Mytilus edulis: one gene and its partners. The protein of the gene in region 2 interacts with the protein of the main gene of each other region in a pairwise test. Links are inferred from orthologs where the notes say so. Each region holds a gene or a part of one and is shown on either strand. Other genes may lie near its edges. The genes, in order: elongation factor 1-gamma-like, Golgi to ER traffic protein 4 homolog and ATPase ASNA1 homolog.

Region 1 (7,380 bases), on a different chromosome or scaffold from region 2:
GAGAATTGTCGAAAATCACGCGCTTACCACAGCGCTATCCAAAAATCCTGGGGAGAACACTGGCTTACATTTACATGATGTAGTACATGCATATTGCTCTTTTTTTGTGGTCCGACTTAACGTAGCATGTGCATGTCTAATTGTATGCATACATTTTGTAATTCATGCGAGTAAAAATAAAATATATAAAGTACATACGAAAGTGTGCAATGGCATTGCTTTCAAATATGCAATCTCCTCCAGCTGTAACAAATGCTGGAACCTGAAAAATAAAATGACATACATTTTAAAACTTACAAATACATACATTAGATCCATCTTACTTAATTTATAATCAAGTGAAAATTAATATTTTCCATTGCCACTCTCCATAATAATCATTAAGATCTAAATCTTAAATAGGGATGTGAACATTGGCATTATTGATAAAAGTTGGTTATTTTTTCTTTTTTACATTAAATCCTATGAAGACAAGAGAAAGTAAATATACATCATGATCATTCTGGACCATAATATACTGCATGTAGTTATTCTGAATATGATCACGCCTAAATTTATTAACCTGGTCATCTGATCAGAACAAACCTTGCTCTTCCTTCAGTTCTTACACATTTGCCATATGAACCAGCAAACATGCCTTGAAGGTTGCATCTTATTGGAAGACATAATTTCCTAAATGATTATTATTCTGAATGTTCATTAAGCTAGTAACAATGGATTAATGTGTTGACCGCCATTATGACACTGCCATACATCTTTACTTCTTTTTAATTTGCTATCAAGAACCCAATATTACCACACTATAATGATTATGAATTTTAATGTCCAGTGGAAAATATTACAAGCACATCAAGAGAAAATGTATAGCAATTTGTGTTCTGTCGTGACTTTATTCAACAATTACTGTATTAGTTTTAACTTGTTTTCCAAATTTTGTCTTATCTTATGTATTTGTATGTAATGTGATGAAAACTCTTTATACTAGGACCATCCGAGTGTAATTGTAAAAAAAATATTCTGTTTGACTCCTGCTATGGACTAAACCAACACATTAAGCTTTATTTTTTGTGTACTTAGATGAGTTTGCCAGACGTCACCCTACCTAGACAAATCACTGACTCTTAGTCTTACATGCACATTTTCTTATCCAGAATGCCAATGGGTCGATGTATAGGATAAGTAAATCACATACCCGTAGCCAGGGGGGTTCGAGGGTTGCGGACGAACTCCTCCCCCCTTGAAAACAAATTGTGACTGTTAAAGTAGAGTTCCCGAGTCCAAATACCCCTCCCCCCCTCCTTGGAAATTCCTGGTCTGAATCAGCAGCAAAAAACACAGAAAGTCATTCAGACACAAACTTGAACAAATAAGGAAGAAGGGGAGTTGGTATAACTGTCATTGAATCTGCCAAGGGATACTAAATGTCTATGTACCGCCATCTGACATTGCCCTTTAACAAATATCTGACAAGTTCATGTTTTGCCATGTAGATAAAATTTCTCAGCAAGAGACAATGCAAGAAAGATGAAAGTTTAACCACTAATTCAATTATGTGACAACTTTATTTGAATACATGTACATGTAGTTATTCTGAATATGAAAAAGTTGAATGGTATCAATCCTTCATGTGATCAGAAAAAAACCTTTCTCTGCCTTCAGTTCTTACACATTTGCCATTAAAAACCAGCAAACATGCCTTTGATGAAGGTTCTACATTTTTTTATCATTCAAGCAAACAAAAAGATTATGAACTTTCAATAAGAATATCAAATATTTGTCACTATATAGCAAAATACTAGCAACAATTGATCAATCATGTGTTGACCCGACTGTTACGTGTAAGCAGTACAATACACCTTATACAAGTTATAGCTACATTGTATTTGTCCATGGTTCCATGAAATTTTTAGGTCATTATACAAATATATATGTCGCCTAAATGGAAAAGATTGTTGTATGACATCAATAGTTCAAGCCAGACAAATTCTCTAGGTCAGCTTGGAATATAGATAAGGTGTTTATGGGCACCATTCATGTAAAATTTCTGACGTCACAATGGAAAAATGATTGTTGACAATTTGTTGTACGCCAATAACAGTTCAAGGCAAAATGGGGCAGATTCTCAGGTCAATAGGGACAGATTTTCAAATAGCAATACACTTTTCTATTGTGGTGTCAGATTTTGTGGGAACCTATGTGGTATACAGTAATGGCGGTCAATTAGCGATAAGGTGTTTAAGGTGACATACAATATTATGTGTACAGCTCTTGAAATTACTTCTACTTCTATGTGGTTAATCTGCAGTCAACGCAGATACACTGTGCATGTGTGTCAACCAGTACAAGCCAAGTTAAAAATAACAAAAGCTTTTGAGTATTTAGAGGAACAAAAACAAATAAAAATTAATTTACAAAAAGAGGAAAATCAATAAAAATAATTTTGATGTTAATTTTTATGCAAAGAACTGGCTCGTTAGTGGACAGTATCATATATATGCATATCAGATGTTTGTTAATTCTACAAATGTACCATCATCTGCTAGTCAAAATCCGTAAAAATATTGTCTGCATTTTCAGAGTTTATTTCTCGACACATATGTATCTTACCCATATCAATGTTTCGATGTGTGACCACATTTAAAAAGCGACTTACTTTTCCAAGCGGAAATTTAGACAAGAAATCTGGAGTTTGGTTGGTTTCACCGAACTTGAAACTTGCAAGCTTGATTGTTGTACGGCTGTACTCCGCTGCAATTTGAGCTTTGAAAGCTCTGAAGTTGTCAGGGTATGTGTAAAGAGTCTACAAAATTAAAAAAAGACAAAGATTATTTATTGTTTTTCAGTTTTCCAGAGGTAAATTTATTGTTTGAGGAAAGATTGCGTTGATTCTATATTGATTGTCACGTATGTCAATGTGTAGTACCCCTGTAGCCATTGCACCGGTAAAAAAGGAAGTTACATTTGAACTTTCCGGTATGTCATGCGCTTTTCGATAGAATTGCTTCAAGTGCCCGGATGTTTCGTCTAGAGTTGTCAATATCGAACTAAAATATTTAATTGATCGAAACAGAAATACAGTTTTAGTTGAAAATGGTAACATAAGTGCCTCATTGAAACATATTTGATGTTGCATATTTGTTATGATATGATTTTTGTATCCTACACTCTAAAATACAATAATTTTGGTTCATTTGTACCAATTTTATGTCCATGATTCTGAAACTGGACAGGGAAAAAGGGGGAAATTTTGGGTACAACCTCATCGATGTCAAATACTCGATGCTTCAACTACATTTTCTAAGAAACTATTACTTCTGTATACGTGAATTAATCAATTGCAAAAAGAAAGATTTTCTAACAGACAACACATTTACAGCATAATAATTAATTTAATATCAATAAATGTCCTTATAAGGTCTACATCGTAGGTTGATTTATCAGCACATTGCATAAAGACACTTAATAAAAAGTAACAATCTGAGAGTCCAGTAATCAAAAATTAAATTTGTGCAAAAATAAAAAAAAATAACATTTACATCAATACATGTCTTACATGTATATACAAACAAGGTACGTAGATATCTAAATATACTGGCTTTGGATCAGTATTTTAAACCAATCCTTTTAAACTGATCCAAAGAATTATAAACACTAATGATGTTTTGTGGAAGTAAATTTCAGAGTACAACTGAGTATGGAAAAAAGCTGTACTGAAAGTAATCTGTTCTGGTGCTGAAAGTTTGAGATTGTATAGTGAGGGTGGTAAAGGGTTATTTTCGTGCAACGTTTTCCGCCTTTTTAATTCACGTGTTTTCGTGTTTTGAAGTTTTATTTCTCGTTTTCTCGTGTTTGGCTCGACGTGCGTGCCTCGTGTTCTCCTTTATTTATTTTCCGTGTTTCGTGTCATTACTCTTAATTTCTCGTGCTTGTCCTGCAATTGATTAAGAGTACGGCCGGGATTAAATTCAAAGCCCCGGTCAGTCTGGAGATTGATTTAAATTATGTGTTCCCATGCAGAATATTTAAAATTGCTATAATTAATTATTATGATCTATTATGAATAATATTTTTCTTTCAAATCAGTTGCGACTAGCCGACGCTAAAATGTGACTGTAGGGTCATCATGTCCATCATATATAATGGCTAGATGATCTCCAAGAACGGCTGATTAATAAATTATTTTACTTTTTACATAAATTTTTACTATTTTATTTCTCGTGCTTCGTTTTTTCCGATTTTTATTTTCCGTGCAACGTTTTTGCCATTTTTATTTCACCTGTTTCCGTGTTGAGGGCCCCCCTTTACCACCCTCTATAGTGAGTCTGGTGTTTTTATCTGGCTGTGGTGTGAGGTAAAGATTTGAATCGACTGCTATAAGTTGGTGTGTGATCTCAGACATTATAGTTACTTGATTAATGTTTCTGCGAGTTTCTAGTGACTTCCATTTAAGATCGTCAATCATGGAAGTGGCACTACTGGTGTTATGGTACTTGTTGGTGACGTAATGTGGTCCTTCTTCATGTTCTTTGTACCTTTTCAATATTATTTTTTTTGTTTTTGGGTGTTAAAGGGGACCAAACTGAAGAGCCGTATTAGAAGTTTTATCGTACCATTGTTTTTGCGAGCCAAACTTTTTGTTTCTTCCTGATTAATTTTCAAGTTTCTTCGTAAAAAGCCTAACATCTTGTTTGCTTTAGCTGTGATGTTGTTGGTATGGGTATCCATAATATCCCATGACATATTGTTGGATACATCTGTTTGGCAATACATGACATCGATTCAAATTGGACACGCTAAGAGTATCACAATATTGGATGTAGATTTGAGAATGTGGAGTCAGATTAGAACGTTGATTTGAGGAACCGGCGTCGATTCTTTCAAATACATATCAAGTAAATATTGCTATGACATATGTTTATGTTATTATAAAATCAGCTGCCAGTCTCAAGTCATTATAATATATACATATTTTGTTTAAGGGCCAGATAAAGCCTGCCTCTAGATGTGGGATTTTCTCACTGTGTGGAATACCCATTGGTGGCTTTTGCTGTTTTCTGCTCTTTGGGCAGGTTATCTCTTTGTGTGACACATTCCCAATTCTCAATTTTAACTTATTGCTTTTATCTGTTTTAGGGAAATGAAGCATCACTTCCTTTGGAATTATGTTCAAACTGTAAGTAGATTTAAATATGATTTGATTGATACTTGCGAATAAAAAGTTTTTATGTTATTTTGAAAAATTTCAGATGATATGCCTTAAATGAATTTCAAACTAATTTTCACAATGTTGCCTTTTATCTTAAGAATTATATTTGAAATTTGAAAAGTTAAAAATGAACAACAATACAGATGATACAAGATTTACTTAACGGCCAATAGCAGTAAAAACTACTATTTAATTTTACTACATCTTATTAATATGGAAATTTAGATTCAACTTTTTTTATTTGTCTGCTGTTTGTTTTCGTCAATGTGTAAAGCTTTTGTCCTCTGTTTGATTTAGTCAATGTTTAAAGCTTTGAAAGTATGACATTTAATTATTGTTCAGCCACATTTTAAGTTCAAATGCTTTATTTAGAAATTGATGATTTTATAATTATCAAACATTTGTTGCAGTCTTTCATCAAAGGCTACTATATATAGCTATATTTACTGAAGTTAAATTCTTGGAATTTTAGGGGCCAATTTTGACCATTTGTAACATTCTCCAAATGACCTTCACCATGCCCACAAATATAATTGAGGCAGAGATGGGTCCGATTACTTTCAATGTAATTGATTAAATTACAATTACTTTGTCATTTGTGCGATTAAATTAAATTAACGATTACATCATTTCTGAAAGTGTCTGATTAAATTAATGATACATTGGCAAAGTAATTATGATTACATCTGATTACAATGAATTAAAAAAAACCTTTTGAATGATGTGAATGAATAAAAGTTCAATAGCATTTAATAGTTTTTATAGAATTTTTAGAAAGGATTAGGTTTGATATATTATAAAATGATAACTTTAAACCTCATCTATTTAATAAACCACGAAAGTTCACTACATACATACATTTATACATGAACATTGTGTCTATGGTTTGACCCATTACCTTCATCAAGATTGATCTCTGAATTATTTTGACTTCAATTGAATAAAGCTTTATAAAGAGTTTGCTGCTTGTCTTCTAACCTCTTCCAGACTTTATTTGTATTTCAAGGTGCAGTTTTATAGAATTGTTTAATTAAATTGTAAACAAAATTCAAATACTAAAAATCATTGCATTTTACATGTCCAGTCCAAATACATACAAAATTTTGCTTATTTTAAACAAGATTTTTTTCCCCAACTTTTAATTTAGTTTGTGTTAATTAGAGAAATTTTGAATGTCTGATTAATCTTTTATCATATGTATTGTCCTGCAGCTATACTCATTTGGTAATTTCAATAAAAACAAACCTTAATTGGTTATCTACCTGTCAATTCAAAGTTGACAAAAATATTACCAAAAGATAATAATTTAGGGTTAAAGATAATTATCACTAGAATATAACAGTTATTATCAAATATGTATATGTACATCTTTAAATTGTCAATATATGTACAATATTTTTTACTAAGGCCAAAGACATATAATTGTATTTATATGTCTCTTAGGATAATGGGGGCTTTTATATACTGTAACAGTTTATTTTTAACTGAAGTATACAAATCAATCAACATGCTTAATAAAGTAAACCAAACTATCTTAACATATTAAATATTTATCAAATAAGAATATTAAAAATGTTAATTTCTTGACCATCAACATTGTAATCATAATGTAATCAAAAAGTAATCAGGATTACAGGGTATTTTGAAAAGTAATTGATTAAATTAAATTACATGTAATCAGATTTTTGGCTGATTAAAATGATTACTTGAAAAATTGTATTCAATTACAGCTGATTAACGATTACAATTACCCCAAGTCTGAATTGAGGTCCTGATCTTGAGGACTTGGGGTACAGATAAATTACATGTATTTAAATCAAATATCTGGTTGGAGGTATGAAAGCAAATTTCTTATAAATTTTCTTGCTTCATTATACAATACTTCATAATACAATTAGTTTTTGAAGTAACTTTACATGTGAAAATATATAAAAAATGTTTGTATTAATTGTTGGACCCTTTCTTGAAATATTTTGTTTAGGGTGATGCAAGTGCAAAGTCTATATAATAATATAATTTTGATTTATATTTTTCAGTTGATGCAGATGAAATTAAAAGACTTGGTAAGCGGTTTCGTAAATTAGATTTGGACAACTCTGGATCACTGAGTGTAGATGAGTTTATGTCATTACCAGAATTACAACAGAATCCTTTAGTACAACGAGTAATAGATA
Region 2 (8,078 bases):
AATTTTCCATTTCAACATGCCACCTACGGACCCCTCAAAGAGTTGATGCAAGGGTTTTTAACGTGCAAAGAACGTGACACTCCCTTTACACGAGGCATCGGATTTAACGTCCCAATTCTGACCGGATGTGACTGCGAACTTGATACATCCCGCACAGCCAAACGGACGCCCCGCTTCGTTTTACTGCCGGTCGGGGGAGGACCAAGTGACCATATTTCGGTTCCCCAGTCACCCTTGGGAAACTTTAAATTAGAAACAACAGAAATCCATATACATGTATGTGATCAAACTTATCGACATGTATCCTCACAACCTGACACTTTTTTACGATCTCGCACTCAGTTTCTTCCTTATAGTTTGATATGAAAACAGAGTTTTTGTGTAAAAGAAAAACCTTAAAAAAAAAACCCCAGAAAACCACGCAAAACTGAGTCCTCTAAACGTGTTGACAGTCTTTTAAGTTGTGCATATTAATGTGAGTAATCATTTATCCATGCATAACCAAGTACTTATTGAAGTCAACACCTGTGCAATTAAGTAAAACAGTTACTGAAAAATTAGAATTTGAACTTGCTGTCAGTTCCTTAATAACGATTGTTAGTGATGTGATTTGTTCTTCCATAAGAAAAAGCCTTTCTCATGTAGCACATCCTCTATATATACCGATCAATTTTACCCAAGATTGTCTCTCATGCTTACCAAACAACTGCCAAACTCCAGAACTAACTAGATAGTGTGACACCTTACAATTCAGACACAGTGGGGCCAAGGGATATGAAATATAGAGTTTAGCTCTGAACTCAATTTAGGGGATGGCTCATCTGCTGCAGGAAAATTGAAGTCTATGTTAAGACTTTCAGAATTACACCAAGGTGTGTCTGAAAATATCAAGGATACATTAAAAGAAGAACAATTACGTCACCCTGCCACCAGTGCTCTTATGAGCTATGTCCTCGTTTTGGTATTTCTATGGAAATGATGCCCGCATAGCTTGTTAATAGTTATAGGAAGATGTGGTATGAGTGCCAATGATACAACACACCATCCAAGTCACAATTTATAAAAGTAAACCATTATAGGTCACGGTCCGGTCTTCAACACGGAGCCTAGGCTCAAAAGTCCATTGTTAGTTAATTGATGAAAAATAACACAAAGGCGCTTCTGAACCGTATATTGTCCCTAAAGATAACAAAAATTCGTAAATGTATGGCTATTATAAAATCAATCGTTTCTATTGCAACATTCGCACCATTACATTTGGGCTTGACAGTGCAGATACATCATGCATATGAATATGGGAATATGGGTCAGGAACATTGATCGAAACTTTGTACTCACATTTCTTTTGTGTTTCCTATGCAAAGGTTACACTATAACTGACGAGTTTGACCGAATCATGACGGTATTTACGCTCCAAATAGCATTTGTACTCAAAAACTGTGTTTGCTTTGCACAAACTCTGTCCTGCGCCGAATTTGTCCTTATAAAAAAAGGGAAGTGTCTTGTAATGCTCATACGCGTACTGAATCCGCATATGATGACTACGAGATTGATTCATGTCCCTATTTTTTGAATACTTGAGCTATTGTGTGTCGCTTTTAAAAGTTATATAAGGATCATGACTGATTTTAAATTACAACATTAGAAAATTGGCATTGCATTGTATAATTTTTCCAAACTGACTTTGTTTTACACTCAATTTTTTTTTAAACCTCGCATTCGCCTCGGGTGACTATAGTATATTTTGTGTTATAACTGCTCTGTCCAGACTTTGCAAATACACAATATGTATTTATCTATAACTAGATACTAATTTTCACAAAATACACAACCTTTAAGATGCAAAATTAAAAACAATGTTTCAGCGCTTGGATTTAGTTTTTTTCAAAGATAGAAAAAATATTAAAATAATTTGATAAACTGGTGTTTTGTACTTTAGAAAATAATTCTGTAATATACTATAGCGGAATACTATACACAATATGAAAGTTTATGGATGTGAAAAGGTCAAGGCCACTTCTTCTTTTGCTATGTCTTAAATGGAAAAAAATCAGAAGGTTCCAAATCAACGCCATTTTGTAATGGCAGCTCTTCGTATAAGTAGTAAAATTTGTCGTTTTAGCATCGTTTATAGCATATGCTTATGATTGAATCGTTTTTGTAGCATTCTATTGAATAAATATCAGAATATTTCTCCTTTTTGTCCTTGTGGTTGAAATATTGATATTTTTTTGTCTGACCTTTGACCTCAATTTCACAAAACTGAGACCACTCTGGATTTTTACGACCCAACTTTTCTTATTGTACACGTTTTCCTCTTTCCATCGATATATAATTTAGGTGTGTGTTCTTCCGGACCATTAAAGTTTTAAAAAATGAACTCTGGTTGCAGTACTATAAAAGAAAGTGTACATTTTAAACACCTTATTGCTATTTACTGCTGACACGTGAATCTCTGCCACTTGAACTATTGATGTCATACAACAATCACTTTTCCTTTGAGGTGTCAGAAATTTTGTAGTATGAAGTCAACACTTTACTGCAACCTGTGTGATGTCCAGCAATGGTGGTAACAATAAGATGTATTGACATGCACCAAAACTTACCACTAACAGCATTAGGCAACAATTTTTTTCTGTTATTCTTCATATTACCACCCTCATACTCATTGACCAGATGACAATCTAAAACAAAATTCCTGACCCCCAGTGACAGTGTATTCATGACCTTTTACTTTAACATGTTTTTTTTAATAAAGTCATTATTAGACAGCATAACCTCATAAATTCCTATTTTATATATGAATACTAAAATCAAACAGGATGCCAAATATCATGAATATTGGCAAATTATTGGGAATCCCCTAATAAAAAAAAAAATAAAAATTTCAGTTGCACATATGTTCCGTTCATTAGTTGGACGGTATACTTTGCTGAAAGCACATGTTCCATTGTACTTTTCTGTACCTGAAATACAGAGTCCGGTACATTTGATGAGCTTCGTAAAAATTGCCGGCGTCCACACATGATTGACATTTTCTTAGAACTCTGTCAACACCACCGTTTCTAGAAGCTGCCATTTTTTTTACTCTTCGTCGAAATTTGCAAAACGAAACTATTATCTATGTACATTATTCTCATCAAATTACATTGTTTGAAAAAAAAATGAAGTTTTGTTATTTAATGATATTTTAATACACATTTTAATAAGTACATTTCATTTTTACAACAATATATTTGAGAAAAAAAATGTTTCGTTTTGTAAAATCTTTTAACACGTCGACTTCCTTATTTGTAAGCACAACAACACAAAGAGCTCGTCTTTACATGACATAACAAGACATAAAGGTTAATACTTAAAAGAATTTAGACATTTTAACCCTTCCCTTATCTCTCCTTTATTACTTATTTATATTTTCCCAACAGTCAAGTAATCTTTGTAATTAAAATTTTTGATGTGGGCGAGGTTTACAAGAGCAGTGCATGCATGCGTTAAAAGTTCAAGGGTCAAGTGGAATAAGGTGCAGAGCACCAAATTCCTTGACCTTTGTAGGGAAGCTGGGGAATTTGAGATACACGATGAAGTTATGTGCTGTTTTAAACTGTGGAAACTCAACTTATCACCTTCAAAAGTGGATGGGGGACTGGTGTCCAATACACCAATGCAACTATGGAACTTCAAGATGTGTTTGTGATCCTCCTTTCAAATTATTTCCATTTCCAACTGAGAGAAAAAATCCTAAGGGGAGACAAGAGTGGATAAACTTAATCAACAGGACAGATCCTGAAACTGGAGAATGTTGGGCTCCAAAAAGTCACAGTAGGGTTTGTTCAAAACATTTTCCTGATGGGAGACCTACACATGAAAATGCTAACCCTATAAACAATTTGATTCTGGAACCAGTAGAGAAACCCAAAAGAGGAAGATCAAGCCAAATGAAAAGAAAACTTGAAGTGCCAAAGTTTATTTCTATATCAGAAAATGTAATTGATGCAGATGCTTGTGGATCTGAATCAGATAGCATGGAATTAATTGAATCTCAAAATGGAAATGAATGCAATATCTCAAAAAATAACTCAGAATCTCATCCTTCAAAAGAAACAGTTCAAAATTTAGGCATCAGTAGAGCTGTAAGTTCAACTTGTTAACATGATTAAGCATGTGCTCATTTAGATTATACATGAATGCTGATTTTATAGAAATATATATACATTTTACATTTGTAATTGCACATAAATATATTTGTATGTTATTGTAATGATAAACATTCAAATGTATGTCGTACATGTACAACTGTACGTATGTCTGTTCATGTCAGTAAATTACATAGCATAGATTAGAGCATGTTACGATACAAGAGTATGTTGAAGAAAAAAATACTAAAACTTATCTTGGGTCACAAAGGTGAACAGATGCAGATCCAAAATTTAATAACTAAGCCTTGTTATTACAGTTAAGTTTATCCCATAAAAGCGTCATCTCATTGATTTACCATGGTTAATCAAAAATGTATTGATTTAATTAACAAGTAGTTATCAAGGCTATGCATTTAGTTTCTGTGCAAAGTCTCAAGAGTTCCCTAGAGCCCATTATAAAATAAAATCTTTTTGATTTATTTTACAAATAACAAACATACGTTATTACAGATTTATAAAATTTCAGGAATAAAGAGTAGACAACTCATGAAAGTATCTGTAATAACACACACAAGTTATTTTCTGTAATAACCCTATAAAGTTGTATCTCTGACCATGCTGACTGGTATATAATAAGATCAAAAACAATCTCATAGTTTAACCATATTTATTTTTATTTTGCAGAAGGCCATGGAGGAAGATAGCAACTCTCCTGCTGTGAGTAATCCAGGGACCCCTAGATCTGAACAGGAAGTCAGAGCCACACCCCCTCCTCAGAAAATGATGGGACAAGCTATGAATCCCTACCAACAACAGCTACAGCAACAACATATGTTAGCACAAATGCAGGGATCACAGTTTCCGCTAGGACATCAATCTCAAAGCAAATACACACAATTATTAGCAGTGATCGAGGACATGGGTAAAGACATTCGACCAACATATTCTGGAAGTAAAATGTCTGCAGAAAGATTAAAGCGGGGAATAGTTCATGCTAGGATTTTAGTGAGAGAATGCTTGATGGAATGTGAAAGAAGTGCAAGGAATTAAATTAGAATCTTGATTATAAAAAGAAGATTATAGTATTACTTGTTCATACATCATTTTTATGCATTGTATAAAATTGACATAGTAAAATAAATCAAAATACAGAGCTATATAAGACTATCATCGAAATCATTTCATTCATCACTTGTTCACTCATGGCTTTAATTTTATGTATATGTCAAAGATATAAATCTTTTGTATGAATTCAATGAAATTATGAGCAAGATTGAAAATTGATATTATATTTATGACCAATAAGATTACAAATTAATCTAATACTTATCATTTTTTTCTAATCATAAAGTTTGTGCTGAAACAATAATAATACAGGTTTTCTATTTTTAGCAATTGATCCTGTTTTGAAAGTTGATATGAACATGTTATTATATGAGCATTTTAAAGGTTGTGTGTTCTACAGCATGTTAGGTGTTATTCGTGTACATGTGCAAGACATAAAAAGCAAAATGTACATTGTAACATTATTTATATATGCAAGTTTTTTGAAAATCTGTTTTGTTGGAGGAAATTTTTTGGGGGTGAAATTACATGTATATCCTCTTGCTTTATAATTTTAAATAATATATGTCTACAAATCATGCACATCTGGTTAATATTTATTTTTAAAGATACATTTACAGGTATAATCATGTTGTTAAAAATAGAAGTTCAGAAGATCAATCCTAACTTATCTAAGCTTTGTCTACCATCATTTACAATGTAGCTATAGGGCATAACTTGAAAAAGATGAACACATTTTTAAGTCTACAATATCTGGAAGAATCTTATTAATGTAATAGATTATCTCCCCTTTTCTCTCTGCCAAAAAAAATTAGTTGGAAATGTAATTAAATATTCACATTGTTTTGCAGTTCAAATATTTTCTTCAGAGTTTTGTCCCTTGGTTTTGCTTCTTGAGTTTTAAAAGAACATTGGATATAGTTAGAAAAAAAATTTCAGAGCATTTCCAATTTATTTTTCTTGATGATTATAGAATATTATATTTATAAGGAAATTTGGTATATGGAATATAGAAAACCCTATCAAGAAAATAATGTTCATTTTAATATCCAAAATGTAATATTCCTGATTTTGTTAAATTTTATGTTTAGCAGTTTTAAATTTACTGAAAGGAGAAATGGTAATTTTAAACTATGGGCTCCAATTTCAATGACTTTGCATAAAGCCTGTAGGGAAGACACTGACTTCAATTTTATGAAAACAATAATTTAATTTTGAAAATGAGCTAGATAATGATTTTGCTTATGGTATATAGAGTAAGACAACTGAAGTATTATGTAAGTAATGTTGTACATTTTTTTAATCATGATACATTAAATATTATTAAAAAATCCTCTGGAAGGAAACATGTTGAAATGATATTACTGTAAATTAAATAAAAGAAATAGAAGTAAATTGGTTTTTTTCTTGGCATCTATATATTAGAAGATGTGGTATGAGTGCCAATGAGACAACTCTCCATCCAAGTCACAATTTGTATAACTAAACCATTTTAGGTCAATGTATGGCCTTCCATACAGATCCTTGGCTCATACTGAACAGCAAACTATCAGCTGTTTGTTGCATAGTACATATCCCTATCTACATCTATACCTTCAATTGTGACTGTTTGTACGACATGTATTACAAGTACAATAAAGTATTGGTATATTGTATAGAAACCTTAACTTGGAAAAAAATATTTACATGACAGTATCGGTCAATAATTAGTTAACTTGAAATTTTAATCATTCAGAATGACTAAATATTTAGTGTAACAAATTATTTAGCTACATTTTTTGCACAATGCATTATTTAAATTTAGAGTACCAGTAGCTTAAATTTTACACAAAGCATCAATCTTCTTCCATCACAGTTAACCAACAATGAACTAAATTTCTGCATTGAGTATATTGAATATTCATGTTGTGGAATAGAATCAGTCTCTTTATAGTCTTGACAAGTTGAGAATTAATTCAACACTGAATACCAAATATCTTACACCAACACCTAAAAAACAAATGTGTAAGAGACTATGACCATACAATCTGTTTTATTCTGATAGAGAGTAGGTTGTAGCTGTTAAATATTAACCTGTATGGTTTGTTAAAAAGAGTGATTTGTGTGCAATAAACTTGTACATGTTTATTATCCATGACATTTGCTATTTATATACAGCAAAAATAATCAAATTATGGGTACAATTTATAATCAAACATAAACCTGCAGTATTGGGGAAACTCTTCTAGATACCATGTTTAAAAAGACAGCTATCAGATAAGTGAACTTGTACAGTCACTTTCAAAAAGGAAGGGTTGGGTTAATATATATTATTCTGATCTCTTAAAGATACAAAAAAGACATTCAAACTCACACAACCGAAAACAAGATGACAACACCATGTCAAAAAACAAAAAAAAGGAGCCAAAAAAGAACAATCATAGAAAATTAAAAATTGAACAACCCTAAATTTGAGCTAAATACATGTACTATGATTATTAACTTTTAATTTTGCAATCATTTGAATCATGAAAGCACACTACATACTGAAGCACTCACTAAAAGATTTGGAATATTTCTCAATGGCAACCAACTATTAGAAGTAGAATTACACTGGTTTACTGGCCCTGGAATCAAGGTCACGAAGAAGTAGGTCAATGGTAATCTGTATGTAGATGTATCAGGATTGGCACATGTTACTTCACTGAAGATTATGGTACTGAAATTGAATATTTTGCATATGTTTACATGTTAAAGTGTGTGGTTATGTCAGTAGGAGATTAATATAGCATTTGCAACAAAATATACTTTTGACCAGTTATGATGAGCCATATGTTAAACACATTTATATACAGGTTAAAATATTGCCATTTTCATTTTAACATATGCATAATAATA
Region 3 (7,093 bases), on a different chromosome or scaffold from region 2:
ATACATTACCATGCTAACCATTTATTCAACACCAAAAACATGAAAAAAAACATCTTCAGAATCTCATTATACTAAAAACAATGAAAATATATATTTATAGCAATATGTACACTTACCATGCTAACCATTTATTCAACACAAAAAAAATGTCATTAGAATCTCAATTTATTTAGAAACAGTGAAAAAAAAATACTTTTAGCAATACACTTACCAAAACTTGCTTCTTCTTCTTCTTCTTCTTCCATATAAGAGTTGGGTTCCTTTAATGAAACGTTTAAACTCTGCGGGACTACGCATGGTGACATCACATATCTAGTCCCCTAAGGCTATATACAGTATTTACAATAAAATCAGGTTGTTACGGTTAAAATTATGTACAATCGTCCAGTCTGGTATTAATGTGTTGTCTGTAGCCCTGAGCGAAAATCTTCAACTGATCCCGCTTCAGCAACCCTGGCAGGTAATGTATTCCATTCCATGATTGTTCTTGGAAAGAAGGAGTTCCTGTAGACATCACTGGTGACCCTCTGTTGGTAAAACTTGTGTCCTCCACGAGTTCTACTGTCGCCACCTTTGAGGTAAGTACTCTTGTTGATGTCTATCAGCTCATTCTGGATACGATAGAGCATGCATAGCCTGTTGTCACGGCGTCTTGTCTGTAATGTGTCCCATTTAAGATCTTCTAACATTGTAGTGACGCACCCTGGTGTGCGTGATGTGTAGTCATTATAGACAAATCTAGCAGCTCTCCTCTGTATAAGTTCTAGTGTGTTGATGCTTGCTTGGTTGGTTGGGTCCCATATAGTAGAAGCATACTCTATGACAGGTCGCACGAGTGTTGTATAGCCAGCTGCCTTTACTTTCCTGGTACATTCTTTAAGGTTTCGTTTGACAAACCCAAGTGTTCGGTTACCCTTTGCTGTAACACTCTGGATATGTTTGTTCCATGAGAGGTTGTTTGATATTGAAACTCCCAAGTACTTGGCACTATCTACTGGTTCGAGTATGTGTCCATGCAGAGTGTATGGGTATTGTATAGGTTCTTTGTTCTTTGGTGGTATGCGGATAATATTGCATTTTGTTGGATTGAATCTCATCATCCATGTTTTTTCCCAACTTTCTAATGCTTCAAGGTCTTTCTGAAGTTGTTCTGTATCTTTGGTGTTACTAATTTCCCTGTATAGTAGACTGTCATCAGCAAAGAGGCGGACATCTGATTGAGTATATCCGGGCATGTCATTGGTGTATGTTAGGAACAATAAAGGACCTAGTACTGTGCCCTGTGGCACACCTGACAGAACATCGTCTTGTTGAGATCTAGCACCTTCCAATACTACCTGTTGTTTCCTGTTTGATAGGAATGAACTGATCCAGGAGTTACAAGTTATTGGGCGTGAACAGACTTAAGGTGCTATTGCGTAGGGTGCGAATAGACTTGAGGTGCAAAGTGAAAGGGGGGTACATGAATGGGCGCGAAAGAGAAAGGGATGAACTTGAGTGGGTGCGAACCGGATTGGGTGCAAATGGACCGGGATTTGTTTTCAAGCCCAGGATTTTGCGATCAGGACCCTACCCCCCTCAACTGACCTAAAGAAAGGCAAATGAAAGGTACATCTCTAGCTAAGCTGATGGGTAAGTATATACTTAACATACCAAAGGTAGTGATCCCATCACACATAGATAAACTATACTTTACTAGCCTTGAAAACTTGTACGGTAATAAAACATATCATCGTGTAATGTGTTTTCGTACTAATAACAATTTTCACTGCTTACGGTTTTTACTGTTGAGTTTTTATTTAGGTGTTTACTCAAATTTAAAAAGCATGTCCTGTAGATTGATTTTAGGTATCTAGTTTTTTTGTCAATGATTTCTACGATTTTTTACTGTTTCCGATTACTTTGCGATTTTTGTATGTCAAAAAAACGGCGTCATAAGTTTTCGTATGAAATAAAATTGGATCAGTACACGGACAGGAAATGACTACAAAATCCGGAAATACATTTTTTCTAAAGTCGTGGTTCGGGTGATCGCTTAAATCTTAAAAAAGTTATTAAATACTTTTCAGTACAAAAAATTACTAGTAAAAAGTGTAAGGTTGGTGTTTCGTGTGATGAAATTTTTAGATTTTGATTAATTTCAGATTGGCACCTGGTTTGTACAAAATACATTATTTTTTCTAAAATAAAATGCAGTTTTCAAAATTTATGATTAAATATAAAAAGTTAAGACTGTTTTCATCTTCATGTATCAAGGATGTATAAAAAAAATTGTCAATGAAATATTGAATAGTTAGATTTTGAACAACCATTTTATATAAGAACCCTGCTAATTTTAACTCGATGGTTTGTAATTAAAACGGCCAAAAAAACACATGACAGTCATACGTCTTGAAGATCCGGTGTCTGACTTGCAAAAAACGTATCTGGACTTTATTTTAACCCTTCAGAATTTTTTTCCACAACTATTCTAGTGATGCGTATTTTTGACATTAAATAAAAATGGCTAAATAGGTCAGTTTTATTTAATTTGTTCTAACGTCTTTAAAAAGCGACGTTGAATATGTTTTAAATATATCAAGTTGTAGTGGTGTTGTTGTTCTAAATATAGAAACAGAAAAACATGCCACAATGTACGCGTATGCAGTCGAAACCGACGAAATGTGGTTGATACGAAAACATATGACATACGAAAACATATGACACGACGATAATCAACATATATTTGAATACTCATTTTTTTCATTTACAATCACAGGCACCTGTTTCTGTCAATATGGGGTTTACTATCCATACCCGTACGAAAAACAAGTGCCTGTATGTTTCGTACAGGTATGGATAGTAAACCCTATATTGACAGAAACAAGTGCCTGTGTCGGATCGCCATAAAAGAAAAATAGTAGTAATCACCTTGTTGTCGTTTTTCCCACACCACCTTTTCCACCGACAAATACCCATTTCAGGGAAGCTTGGTCTACTATATTTTTAAGTGAAGGATCCAGCTGTTCAAATTCGTCATCTAGATCTTTTAAGTTTGCCATTTTTTTGTTATTCCAAGTATTACTTCCGGTTTCGAGACCGGAGACTCCTAGCGGACAAACAAGTCAGATTCGTCCCTAAGAATGGTCGTCCATGACCGTTTTGCAAGTTTTCAGGAGTAGACATTCCTCCCAAAATTTGTTGATTAATTTAAATATTCAGAATCAAACAGACTAGATAATTCAAATGTTCATTCCTGTGCAAAATGAAAGAAAAGTAATGTTGACTACTGTACCCCTATTTTTAACTTGTATGTCATTCTTTCCGTAGCTATTACGGCGTAGCCATTGAACTTCAAGCGGGGGTCAAGGTTTTTTGTCCAATTAAAAAGAAAATTGCGCAAAAAATTACATTTTTTATTTCAACGCTATTAATCATTTTTTTTCCTCTCAAAACTTTTCACTATATTAAAGTTATGGAGAAAATCTGGATTTGGAATATTTTTTTTCATTAAATTGAAGATCAGAACATTTAAAAAAAAAAAAAATAATACAATGGAATTGTATGCAACTGCCATACAAGTGAGGTGTTTAGCTAGCTATAAAACCAGGTTTACATGAGGAAATGCTTGTACCAAGTCAAGAATATGACAGTTGTTTTCCTTTCCTTTGATGTGTTTGAGCATTTGATAAGGGACTTTTGGTTTTGAATTTTCCTTGGAGTTCAGTGTCTTTGTTATTTTACTTTTTACACATCTTGTTTCAAAATGTAGATTTTTATCTATTCCCATTTTGTCCCTTATTTTGAATTGACAAAACTGCTTAAAGTAAAAAAAGGGTGGATAATAATTGTGATATCTATTTGTAATTATACATTTATAGTGATTGTGATGTCCATTTTAACCACACCAACAAACGAAAACCACTGAACAACAGGTTCCTGACTAAGGAAAGATGCAAACAAATGTAGTGGGTTTAAATGTTTTTACTAGCACCAACCTTCACCCTAACCTGAAGTAGTAGTGTAAAATTACAATATTATTTATGAGGGTCTGGATGGGGGGGTTGGGGTTCTGTTATTCTGTAAACATTTAATTTTCACCCCTTTTTTCTTTAATCTTCAAAAAATAAGTCTATTCTTTAAAAGTGATTTTTTACGCATTATTCTCTAATTTATTCCCCAGTTTTCTTTAATCTTTAAAAAAAAAAGTAAGAAAACATTCTTTTAAATGAATGAGAACGGTGATTTCCAAACAACAGCAAGGTTTTCATTTGTTTCTCAACAATGACGTGTTGATGTGTATTGTTCTGCATGATTTAAGTGCTAGTTCCTTGAAGTAACAAGTCCAAATTCTCATCAGTTCTTTCCAGTGATTTTGACTACATATATACAACTAATGCTTTTGTATGGAACCCCCTTTTTAATAATGACTGGATCCGACCCTGTGTCCGCTGGTTATGCTGCCTTGAATGGGCCCTAGTGCTTCCATTGATGGATGTTCACAGTTATTGTTATTTGATAACCAAAACTTAGCCAAATTCACTTGATACAGTTGTTTCCGCACGTTTATTTTTTGTTAGCAATCATATCGTGTCTTTTAAAAAAAATATGATCAAATATAAGGTATATGATGTATAACACGCACTGCATATATTGCCGTCTCTTTTAATTATCATATTGACGGCTTGACAACAAGATGATTTAATAAAATACACTTTTAACAGGTCAAGAGCATTGCTTCATCTTAGCCTACTTGACAGGCCCGTAGAAAAACATGCAATAATCCTTGAATTTGTTTATATTTCAATTTACATTGTGTCCCCTCTCAGTAATAAATCTTTCCTTCGGCACTGCTTATTATTGATCACGAACAATAATTATTTTGTCTGTCAGGTTTATAATTTCCCAGATAGCAATACTTTGTTGGGCCAACATTGGTGATTGGTTGGCACAGTTGGTAAATAGTTGGCGTTGGCAGCACAACAAGAAACCGACGTTGGCCCAACAAAACTCAGCCAACAGTTATTTTGACACTATTGGCCCTTGTTGGCCCAACGACTTTCGACCAACTGTCATTTTGGTGTTATTGGCCCAATGTTGGCCCAACATTTTCTTACCAACTGTTATTTAAGTAGCTTGTCCGACGATATTTGACTTACGTTATCCATTGGTTCAGTGTAAGATCTTCTGACTGAAACTACTGAACCAATTTTAATCGAACTTTATTTGAATGATTCAAGGTTATCGTAGAGAATATAGATTGTGTTTTAAGGGCATTGAGGACTTGGTAAAAAATCAAATAATAAAGTCTTACTAAATAGGACTATTTTAAACTGTCTGTGCCAAGAGCTAGGAAATTCTTAGTATTTTGAATAATTCAAAAGTTTGTAAAACAATATTTATATAAACCAGGTGCTCCGCAGGGCGCAGCTTTATACGACCCCAGTGGTTGAACCCTGAACAGTTGGGGCAAATTTGGTCACAATATTCAAGCTTGATTCTGTCTGAATTTGAATTGTGATCAAATTTTTGACATAATATAGGTTTTTGTCACAAAATTAATGTGCAATTGAAGATTTCTTCTTCAAACTTTTCAAAATTCGAAATTTGAAAAATTTTGAAAAAAAAGGAAGCCCTTCAAAAAATGGTAAACAAAAAATCCCCCCCCCCCCCAACTTTTTGAAACCCCCTTGGAGCAATAACCCTTAAACTCAATTCCGAAGGAACAGCCTCCCCTTTGTTATATGGTACACTGTGGTACAATTTCAGAGAGATCCATACAATTACACATAAGTTATTGTCTTGAAACTAGAATAAACAGCTGCGACATGAGCGCATGATACGCCCGACGTCTTGTGTGGAAGTTTTATGCAATAATCATAAATAGTTTCTGAGAAAGTTTTAAGCAATAACCATATATTGTTTTTGAGACACGGCGGGGACATGTGAAATCCCCAACCCTGTTTTTTTTTACAAAAAACTAAATTTCACTAAAATAAAATTTTGAATCAAAACCAAAAAGTATATAGATCTTTAGATTAATATAACAAAGAAGTGTGTAAAGTTTTAAGCAATAATCAAAAATTATTTTTGAGATACGGCGCGACATGTAAAAAAAACCCTCCCCTGTTTAACAAAATACTCAATAACTCCAAAATAAAGTTTTGAATCATCACCAAAAAGTATACAGATCTTTAGATTAATATAACAAAGAAGTGCGTAAAGTTTTAAGCAATAATCATAAATGGTTTTTGAGATACGACACAACATGTAAAAATAAACAGCTGCGCCATGAGCGCATGATACGCCCGACGTCTTGTGTGGAAGTTTGATGCAATAATCATAAATAGTTTCTGAGAAAGTTTTAAGCAATAACCATATATTGTTTTTGAGACACGGTGGGACATGTGAAACCCCCAACCCTGTTTTTTTTTTTTTTACAAAAAACTAAATATCACTAAAATAAAATTTTGAATCAAAACCAAAAGGTATACAGATCTTTAGATTAATATAACAAAGAAGTGTGTAAAGTTTTAAGCCATTATCATAAATTATTTTTGAGATACGGGGCGATATGTAAAAAAACCCTCCCCTGTTTAACAAAATACTCAATTACTCCAAAATAAAGTTTTGAATCATCACCAAAAGGTATACAGATCTTTAGATTAATATAACAAAGAAGTGTGTAAAGTTTTAAGCAATAATCATAAATTGTTTTTGAGATACAGCACAACATGTAAAAAAAACCTCCCCCTTTTTTACAAAATACTCAATAACTCAAATATGAAATTTTGAATCATCACCAAAAAGTATACAGATCTTAAGATTAATATAACAAAGACATGTGTAAAGTTTTAAGCAATAATCATAAATCGCTTTTGAGATATGGTGCGACATGTAAAAAAAACCTCCCCCTTTTTTACAAAATACTCAATAACTCAAAAATAAAATTTTGAATCATCACCAAAAAGTATACAGATATTAAGATTAATATAACTAAGAAGTGTTTAAAGTTTTAAGCCATAATCAAGAATCGTTTTTGAGATACGGTGCGACATGTGAAAAAAACACACCCCTGTTTTAGTTACAAAGTGCCGTAACTCAAAAAGTTTTA

What was found.
Region 1: the proteins of Golgi to ER traffic protein 4 homolog (region 2) and elongation factor 1-gamma-like interact in a two-hybrid assay, tested with the Homo sapiens proteins (2 studies listed by BioGRID and IntAct, with this or other methods). The link is inferred for Mytilus edulis from reciprocal best matches to the Homo sapiens genes GET4 and EEF1G.
Region 3: the proteins of Golgi to ER traffic protein 4 homolog (region 2) and ATPase ASNA1 homolog interact in binary tests that used the Homo sapiens proteins (3 or more experiments, as listed by UniProt). The link is inferred for Mytilus edulis from reciprocal best matches to the Homo sapiens genes GET4 and GET3.

The regions. Positions count from the first base shown.
Region 1 is NC_092346.1:58,349,842-58,357,221, forward strand, and holds the start of elongation factor 1-gamma-like, read right to left. Parts: upstream 3,043-7,380; 5' UTR 2,936-3,042; coding exon 2,924-2,935; intron 2,801-2,923; coding exon 2,654-2,800; intron 263-2,653; coding exon 199-262; intron 1-198. Other genes in the region: calcineurin subunit B type 1, read left to right, coding at 3,091-3,093, 5,134-5,173, 7,243-7,380. UniProt on the Homo sapiens protein: Probably plays a role in anchoring the complex to other cellular components.
Region 2 is NC_092352.1:43,454,842-43,462,919, reverse strand, and holds the start of Golgi to ER traffic protein 4 homolog, read right to left. Parts: upstream 3,083-8,078; 5' UTR 3,080-3,082; coding exon 2,967-3,079; intron 1-2,966. Other genes in the region: uncharacterized protein, read left to right, coding at 3,483-4,130, 4,821-5,186. UniProt on the Homo sapiens protein: As part of a cytosolic protein quality control complex, the BAG6/BAT3 complex, maintains misfolded and hydrophobic patches-containing proteins in a soluble state and participates in their proper delivery to the endoplasmic reticulum or alternatively can promote their sorting to the proteasome where they undergo degradation.
Region 3 is NC_092344.1:91,836,750-91,843,842, forward strand, and holds the start of ATPase ASNA1 homolog, read right to left. Parts: upstream 3,092-7,093; 5' UTR 3,042-3,091; coding exon 2,911-3,041; intron 1-2,910.